Neurospora crassa OR74A: one gene and its partner. The protein of the gene in region 2 interacts with the protein of the main gene of each other region in a pairwise test. Links are inferred from orthologs where the notes say so. Each region holds a gene or a part of one and is shown on either strand. Other genes may lie near its edges. The genes, in order: NCU02263 and NCU00958.

The links.
Region 1: the proteins of NCU00958 (region 2) and NCU02263 interact in binary tests that used the Saccharomyces cerevisiae proteins (3 or more experiments, as listed by UniProt). The link is inferred for Neurospora crassa OR74A from reciprocal best matches to the Saccharomyces cerevisiae genes PTC7 and SEC14.

What each region holds. Positions count from the first base shown.
Region 1 is NC_026507.1:3,137,864-3,142,236, forward strand, and holds NCU02263 (Sec14 cytosolic factor), read left to right. Parts: upstream 1-1,570; 5' UTR 1,571-2,270; coding exon 2,271-2,438; intron 2,439-2,534; coding exon 2,535-2,584; intron 2,585-2,650; coding exon 2,651-2,774; intron 2,775-2,874; coding exon 2,875-3,537; 3' UTR 3,538-4,100; downstream 4,101-4,373. Other genes in the region: NCU02264 (prefoldin subunit 3), read left to right, coding at 1-189, 452-676, 759-875; NCU02262 (hypothetical protein), read right to left, coding at 4,224-4,373. UniProt on the Saccharomyces cerevisiae protein: Required for transport of secretory proteins from the Golgi complex. Catalyzes the transfer of phosphatidylinositol (PI) and phosphatidylcholine (PC) between membranes in vitro. Essential for viability and secretion.
Region 2 is NC_026501.1:6,577,020-6,581,486, reverse strand, and holds NCU00958 (5-azacytidine resistance protein azr1), read right to left. Parts: upstream 2,991-4,467; 5' UTR 2,897-2,990; intron 2,821-2,896; 5' UTR 2,398-2,820; coding exon 1,021-2,397; 3' UTR 479-1,020; downstream 1-478. Other genes in the region: tca-10 (succinate dehydrogenase iron-sulfur protein), read left to right, coding at 3,577-3,952, 4,029-4,180, 4,249-4,467. UniProt on the Saccharomyces cerevisiae protein: Protein phosphatase which positively regulates biosynthesis of the ubiquinone, coenzyme Q. Dephosphorylates and activates the ubiquinone biosynthesis protein CAT5/COQ7. Also dephosphorylates CIT1 on 'Ser-462', which leads to its activation.

The DNA of each region.
Region 1 (4,373 bases), on a different chromosome or scaffold from region 2:
GTCGACAAGGTCGAGGACTATGTCACGTCTCGCGCGGATGTCGAACCCACCCTGAGGCGGTTCCAAGAGTTGATTGCCAAGTACCAATTCATGGAGCAGAACCTCCAGCGACGGGTGGTGGGCTTGAAGGATAAGATGCCGGATATCCAGAAGACGCTGGACACGGTGCGGTTCCTGCAGATGAGAAAGGTACGACACACACACACGCACACACGCACACACACCTCCGTCTTCAGGGCACGCGAACATACGGGCTATACAGCTAGCTATACAGCGGGCACAATACCAAATGCGCCCGGGGCGGGGGGAAAGGGTAATTGAGAACCAAAGGTCAAGGACGAGCATGAACAACAAGGACGTGGATTGATGTATGGATGGATGGACGAAGATACGGTCGCACACGAACAAGACACGCTGACAAGATCACCTTTTTACTTTGTCTGTTTTACAGGACGAATCAGACCCGATCGAAACCACATTCGAGCTCAACGAGACTCTCTACGCCCAGGCCAAGATCCCACCCACGGACGAGGTGTACATCTGGCTCGGCGCCAACGTCATGCTGTCGTATCCCATTGAGGAGGCCGAGCAGCTGCTTGACTCGAAGCTCAAGGCGGCGACGCAGAGCTTGCAGAACTGCGAGGAGGATCTGGATTTCTTGAGAGAACAGATTACGGTACGTGTTGGGCGGAGAACGCGAAGATGGTAGTTCTGTTACCGATCTTGGAACCTTGACTGACCTGAACGATGCGCCATAGACGATGGAAGTTGCGGTTGCCAGAGTGTACAACTGGGACGTCGTGCAGAAGAGGAAAGAGAAGGAGGAGGAGGAGAAGACAAAAGGAAAGAAGAGCGAGACGGCGTCGGACGGTTGAAGAGGAGATTAGGTCTAATACAGAAAGCGAGGAGATAATGCACCATCACGAAATGCCATGGGAGCGAACGACGGTTGAAGAATGTCTAATAGAGGGAGGCCGGCCGAGGTTGCTGCTGGCCGCGATCATGTGAGACGAGGTTCACGATGGCTTGGTAAGTTGGACTTGATTTGAAAGCAACATGATAGCGAACGATACCTCACAGATATTCTGCGTCGTATTACGCTCAGTAGCCATTTGTTCACGAGACAAAGGAACAAGGGCCACGCAAGCGGTTTGTCGTTTTGGAGAGACTGAAGTGGGACTGGCGAGATGAGGTTCGCTCTGGCCTAGGTCAAGGCTACGACCTCGAGAGATTAAAGAGAATTTGAGTTTGGCGGCCTCCAACGCCCATAGCCTCATGATCAAGGCACGATGATGACTTTTTATATTTCCCGCCCGGGTTCTTGGTTGTGATGGAAGTTACTGTCTATCACTTGGCTACAAGAGAGATCGACGCTATGGCTCATTGTTTAGATTGTCACGATACCTACCGCAAACATACACCGAGATAGCCTTACAACGTTACCAAAAGCCAATCCGAGGAGATCACGTGGCTGAGGGGGCGAGTTTGTCTGGTTGAGTTGTAGTGTAGTCGCGGATCGATCGTCGCCATCGTTTATCAAGTGGTGTACATACCCAAGTCTTATCCAGTCGAGACAGTCAGATGGGCGGGGGGCCAATGCGCATGTAGGCAGGGCGCTCGGGCGGCCGTTGACCTGTCTGTTTCGCTGTCAGTGTTTTGTCAAAAGTGAGCCACCCCCGCCCCCCTGGAAACTGAAACCCCTATTTCGGGAGTGAGGAAGCACATCTGTGGTCTTGACCGCCATGACGACGGCATTCGTTTCGGAGACGGGGTCCCGAGTCTTTTGACTCTGTCTCTGTTTGGTACGGCGGCAGGCGAACGGCAGACCAGGCCCGACCTGAATACTGGATGAGGTGCCCTGCGCCAACAGCAGAAAGCAGCTTAGCGGATGGGGCCCCAACGTCGGGTCCCAAGCGGGCAGGCGGCCCCCAGGGGCAGGCGGAATCTCAGGGGCCCCGGCCCTCTGCAACGGAACCCCAATTAAACGATCTCCATCACGGGCGGGCTCCGGCCTCCTTCCCCTTCCTGCCTGCCTGCCTGCCTTGACTCTGTAGACTCAACTGTGTACCCTTTCCCCTTCGGATCAACCCTTTTTGCCACGACTCAGCTGCGTTATCCATCTCCTATAACGCTACCTTACTTTCCAAGTTTGTACACATCATTGTCGTCTCTTCATTGTCTCCTGCCTCAGCTTCATAATACCCAACCCCAACCCCCCCGCTTCAGCCTACCTACCTACCTACGACCTCTACAACACCACAACCGCCAACATGGAGCTTGAACCCAAGTACGACGACTATGACTACCCTACCACCGCGCCCGACGCGCAGGAGGGCCACCCCGGCCATCTGACTCCCCAGCAGCAGGCCCAGGTCACTCAGCTTCGTCTGATGCTGGAGTCTGAGGGCTACACCAAGCGCCTCGACACCCTTACACTGGTATGCAATATGATGCTCGATTCGAGTGGGAGAGACGGAGAACAAAAAGAGGGGAAAGTAGTGGGATAGACAGGTGCTGACACATTCCGTAAACAGCTGCGCTTCCTCCGCGCCCGCAAGTTCGATGTCAACCTCGCCAAGCAAATGTAAGCGCGAAATCTGCCCAGTATCGCTCGAGTTTGAACAACAAAGCGCTGACCATCAAACCCAAGGTTCGTCGAGTGCGAGAAGTGGAGGGCAGAGACCAAGCTTGACGAGACCATCCCTGAGTGGGAGTACCCCGAGAAGGAGGAGGTTTCCAAGTACTACCCTCAATACTACCACAAGACCGATAAGGTACGGCTACCAGTTCTCTCCGGATTTTGCATTCCATCGGCTGCGACAATAGAGACCAGAAAAAGAAATTACACGAGGCTAACATGAGGTTCTCCACCAGGATGGCCGCCCCGTTTACATCGAGCAGCTTGGCAAGATCGATCTGAATGCCATGTACAAGATCACAACAGCCGAGCGCATGCTCACCAACCTCGCTGTCGAGTACGAGCGTCTTGCCGACCCCCGCCTGCCCGCCTGCTCCCGCAAGGCCGGTGTCCTCCTCGAGACGTGCTGCACCATCATGGACCTGAAGGGTGTCGGCCTCACCAAGGCCCCCCAGGTCTTCGGCTACGTCAAGCAGGCCTCCACCCTCTCGCAGAACTACTACCCCGAGCGCCTCGGCAAGCTCTACCTCATCAACGCGCCCTGGGGCTTCAGCACCGTCTGGAACGTCATCAAGGCTTGGCTCGACCCCGTCACCGTCTCCAAGATCCACGTCCTCGGCAGCGGTTACAGCAAGGAGCTCCTCGGGCAGGTGCCCCCTGAGAACCTCCCCAAGGAGTTTGGCGGTACCTGCCAGTGCGCCGGTGGCTGCCACATGAGCGACATGGGTCCTTGGCGCGAGGAGCAGTGGGCTCGTCCCGCCAAGTGGGAGAAGAAGGCTGATGCCCCCGCCGCCGCCCCCGCCGCCGCTCCTGCCGCGACCGAAGCTGCCCCTGCTCCTGCCGCCGAGCCTGCCGTCGCTGCTACTGAGGCTACCGCCCCTGCTCCCGCTGCCGCATAAGAGATGCAATGGGGATGTTTGACGACGGCTTCCAGTCAGAAAGACGGCAGTTCGAAGGGCAAAGCATCACCGAGTCCCCCCAGAATATGGCGTCATTTTTGCCTGTGAGGGGAAGGCTGTTAACGCGGTTTTGCTTTACATGAAGTATCATGGGTCTATATACGCTATGAAAGAGTATTCAGTTGTAATGAAGTCATCATTCGGCCAGACTAGCTTAGTGGCCGTAATGGGGTAGGAGTTGGTTGTGTTTGCAGGGTATTTTCAAGTGCGAGATCGGAAACGTGAATCTGGTTTCAACTTAGCACTGGTGATTTTACATTAGCGTATGTAGAGTCCTCGCGTCTTTGTCGGAGGTGGTCTCTTTGGTATACACACGGATATACAATAGATCACTTGTTTCTGGCGGCCTGTAATTTATCTGCCTGGTATTTGAGTGGTGAAGACATCAAGAAATCTGGCACATTTCAGTTCCCAAAAGTAACCACATATTTGCTTTGATACCCCGTCCATAGACATGGCTATGCCAATACGCCCCTAACTCCAAAAACTAATCGCTTAAAGCCTCTCTACCGAAAGCAAACAGTGTTCCAACAAGCAACAACTCCAACATGCCGGCTCAAACAAACCCAACACTTTTCTTTTCCCGCAGCACTAACGAGTATCGCCAACCCAACCAACAACATTGTCTACCTCCCCTCCCCAGGCGCCGCAACAACACCACTCCCCCCAACACCAGCAACAACATACCCGCCCGCAACCCTCGCCCTCTCCATCCTCGCCACCGTAGCCGGCATCTGACTCTTCAGCCTTCTCAGCGCCTCAACCGCTTTTGCAAA
Region 2 (4,467 bases):
CGTACAGGCGTACGTACGCACCCATTGGTTACCTAGTTAAGTTCATTCCTCGGTGTCGTGCAGCGAGACCTGTGACTTTCTGCCAGTGATCCTGTGGGCTCCCTTCTTACATGCCCTGGCGCCGCCATTATGCCGTCGGGGCCCGTGAGCTGAGTGAGTGTTATGCTGTTTTAACTATTGGTTGTTGGGTCTTCCTTCTTCTTCTTCTTCTTCTTCTTCTTCTTCTTCTTCTTCTTCTTCTTCTTCTTCTTCTTCTTCTTCTTCTTCTTCTTCTTCTGCCGATGTTAAATCGGGTCGAGATGGGTCTCTTAGTAGATAGAACACAGAATTAACGATGACCTCGGTAATAGGACCCGGGTGTGGTGATGATTTGGTGCGTTTTTCTTTTCTTTTTTCTTTTTTTTTGTGGAAGGGAGGAAGGCAAGGCGGAAGCCACAGGGAAGCGGGTTGAAGAACATAACATAGGCCTGGGGCGGTCGGGAGAAGTACCCTTTTCAACCTTGCGGGGCTGACATGGGATAGAACGGGAGCGGTCTTTCAGGGGAGAGTTCAATCAGGTCTGTGGGTTTTAAGGGTTAGGATGATGATGAGGCGGGGTGGTGAGGCACTTGATAACGTTGGTTAAGGGTGAGCAGCGTCGCCGACGAGGTAAGATTCACAACATCGAATCAATATATGATTTCTTTCAATATCTCGACATCCGACAACATGGATGCTTTCTTCGATCCAGTGCCATACTGCTTTGTCTCTGAGACAATAGCCGTCGATGGAAGAGACATTTGAACGCCGCTGATAATGCTCCATAAAGATATGTTCTGCGTTGTTGAGGATATGATATGCAAAAAAAACATGTGATATGTAATATGAAGATCCCTAAATTGGTCGTTGCGGTTTCAGAATACAATGCGCTCTCCATCCCGGATGCTGCCAATAAAAAAGATATTTGTTTATCCCCTTTCTATGTCGCTTTGCGCAAAGGATTTCTGATGTTGTCCTGTATTCCCTAAACATCCTTCCATTCTAGAGGCGTGGCTTCGGCGTCGCCATGTCCGCCGGTTCCTCAGAAACAAGTACGACGACCACACAGATATCGTCCTCCTTGCCGCCGTGCCACGCGTCCTGAGGGTAGTACTTCTTGACCTCCTTGGCGAACGGGCCGTCCAACTTCGCGTTCATGCTCGCCGATTTGGCGGCGCTGACAATATGCGTGGCAATGAAGCTCTGCAGCGTGAAAATGGGCTTGTCGTCGCTGTCGAGCTTGGTGAAGGGAGTCAGGTCCTCGGCGACCTGGACCCCAGCGTCGGTGCCCTTCCAAGCGCCGAGCTTCTGCATTGTGCTGCTGACCAGACGGAGAATGTCCTGGTTGAAGAGGTTGTCCCAAAGACCGTCACTTCCAAAGACAACAACGTCTCCATGCTTCAGCTTGTGGCGGGTCACATCGGCATCGCGGGGCTGATCGATAAGCAGTCCCCCGCCAAAGGTCGCAGCGCGGAGCAACATACTAGGCGGAACCACGCTGAGCTGAAAGGGGGTGTTGAATGCGTGTGTCTGGGGTTCACTGGCGGTGTGCACCCCGTTAAGCCGGAGTATTACGAAGCCGCTGTCGCCAAGGTTCGCAACCTCCATCGTGCCGCTCTCATCCAACATGCCAACCACAGCCGTGCTGCCACCAGCCTTGATAGTCGGGTCATGGCAAACAGCCTCGTATCCCTTTTGCATCAGCGAGCGTGCCGTTAGCGGAGCATTATCACTGGTGTTCCCTTCACCACCAGCGGGCGCTGCTGGTCCGTTAGCCGCCGCTGATGCAATCTTGGTGGGCTGCCTGTCGTTCTCGTATGCGGCAGCCGCCATATAGTCGCAGAAGGCATGCGAAAAGTCCGCAGGGTCGACACCGCTGTCCATCCAGCCGCCCACACCGTCGGCTACGCCCAGCGCAACCTCGCCGGGCCTGTTCCCCACACGGCTAACGAAGAAGGCATCCTGGCCGGACTCTGGGCGCGCCGACTTTGCCTTCTTTCCGGGCTTCGACACTCGGTGGTAGGGGTTGAAGTGGAAGACGTGGGTGGACGGGTTGAAGGGGAGGCCCTTGCCGACGTACGAGGCGGCGATGTTGTAGACGAACTTGGTACCGGATCCGGAGGCAGGCTGCTCGGCGGCCGTCGAGTATGGAGCTTGTGTCATGAGCTGGTGGACAATCCGTCGTCCCACTCTCGGAGGTAATGTGCTCAGATATCGCATGCCGTCGACGGCGGGTCGGTTATAGTTACTGATATGGCTGAAGCGGTACGACGCGCTGCTGGAGGTAGGGCTGATGATCAGGGTCGAGGACCTCGCCGGCCGCAGGCGGGCTGTATGACATGGGGCCGACAGCATGCGGAGAGCGCTAAGGGACGCCATTGCTTGGGCGGACGGTCAATTGCCCAGGCTGCGGAGGGGGTTGGGGGTGGTGGAAACTCTTTCAATCGGCCAGGGGGATCAGGCGACTGATGGAAAGACGTGATTGGTATGCCCCTGGTGGTTGTCAATGAAGGAGATCGTGGATCAATAGTAGATAACGCTGTAGGTTTGGTTCCATGCGAAGCCCCTGTGGGCCCGCTGTGTCGAGAGAGAGGTTAGAGAAAGGAGAGGTGTCTGTAAATCATGATAGTGTCTGCGGGCAATCAACACACCACAGGAATCGCCGGCAAAAGCAAGCGGGAAGACTGCAGTGACGACGGGAACCCGACGCACCGGGCGTCAATCCGATGCGCGAAGTGGACTGGCCAGACATTGCGGATTAGATAGCGATGTGGTACAGGAAGAGGGTTGGGGTTAACAGTGCTGGAAAACGGAAGTATCAGCGCGCTAGCGGCTCGCTATAAGCCTACTTACTGGTAGCAACTTCTTAAGTTCTTACCAAGCTGGACGTGCCGTGGCTCCCGCGCAATCACGGCACCGCGCTGTAGAAACTGAAGTTGGGACATCTCCATTCGAAGATGGGTGAAACGCTCTGGCACATGTGAACAGGTAGTAGCAGCAAATCCAGGGATGTTTGGCGTATGTTGTGTACTTGTAATGGTTAGTACCAAGCTCCATACAGATATAACATTCATCCACTCTGTCATGTTCACAAATAGCGTGGCAGACGAGCCGGTGGTTCTAGAAAATCAGATATGTAAAATGAGCGACAATCAGGGATGGGATATGCTGTTCACAGCTATACACTGTCCGGATAGCATGGCTAGTGGGCATTCCCCATGGTCGGAAGTCGGGACGCTGAAGAATAAGTGGGCGCTGATTGGCTGATGTCTACCGAGGTGTTCCGGGAAACACAAGGCGGTTGAAAGAAAGTCATGACGGCCCGGGGGGGTCCAGCCAAACCCGCCCGGATGCGCCACTCACAGTAGAAGGCATCTCCGTCCACCTCACTGCTACATCTCTCACTCCCGTCGCTCCGCCTGTGAACCCGGTTCCGGTTATTTTAAACGTAGTCTGGCATTCACCTCATCCGCCAAGCGGCTTCCCTTGCTTGCTTTTCCGCATCCTCGTCTCGTCTCGTCTCTGTCTCGTCTCTCAGTATCGCACATCGCCGTCAAAATGGCCGCTCTCCGCTCTTCGTCCGCCCGTGTCTTCGCCGCTGCCTCCCGGCCGGCCTTCCGCCCCGTCGTCGCCGCCCGCGGCATGGCCAACCTTGCCGACGGTGCTACCCAGAGCCAGCAGGCCTCTTCGGAGCAGAGCCCCAAGCTCAAGACCTTCCAGATCTACCGCTGGAACCCCGACACCCCGACCGAGAAGCCGCGCATGCAGAGCTACACCCTCGACCTCAACAAGACCGGTCCCATGGTGCTTGACGCCCTTGTCCGCATCAAGAATGAGCTCGACCCTACCCTTACCTTCCGCCGCTCGTGCCGTGAGGGTATCTGCGGTTCCTGCGCCATGAACATCAACGGCACCAACACCCTCGCCTGCTTGTGTATGTCCATGTCGCAGCATCCACCGAGATATATGTCTCTCGGGGCGGACGGAATGCTTACTTTTCCAAACCACAGGCCGCATTCCCGCCGACAACAGCGCTGAGATGAAGATCTACCCCCTTCCTCACACCTACGTCGTCAAGGATCTCGTCCCCGATCTTACCCTCTTCTACAAGCAGTACAAGTCCATCAAGCCCTACCTCCAGAGGGACACTCCCTCCCCTGATGTAAGTGGATACGCTTTTATAAGAAGCTGCGCGCACAGATCGATGCTAACCTACGTCATCACGTGTAGGGCAAGGAGTATCGCCAGTCCAAGGCCGACCGCAAGAAGCTCGATGGTCTCTACGAGTGCATTCTTTGCGCCTGCTGCTCTACCTCGTGCCCCTCCTACTGGTGGAACTCCGAGGAGTACCTCGGCCCCGCTATCCTCCTCCAGTCTTACCGCTGGCTAGCCGATTCCCGTGACGAGCGCACCGCCGAGCGCAAGGACGCCCTCAACAACTCCATGAGC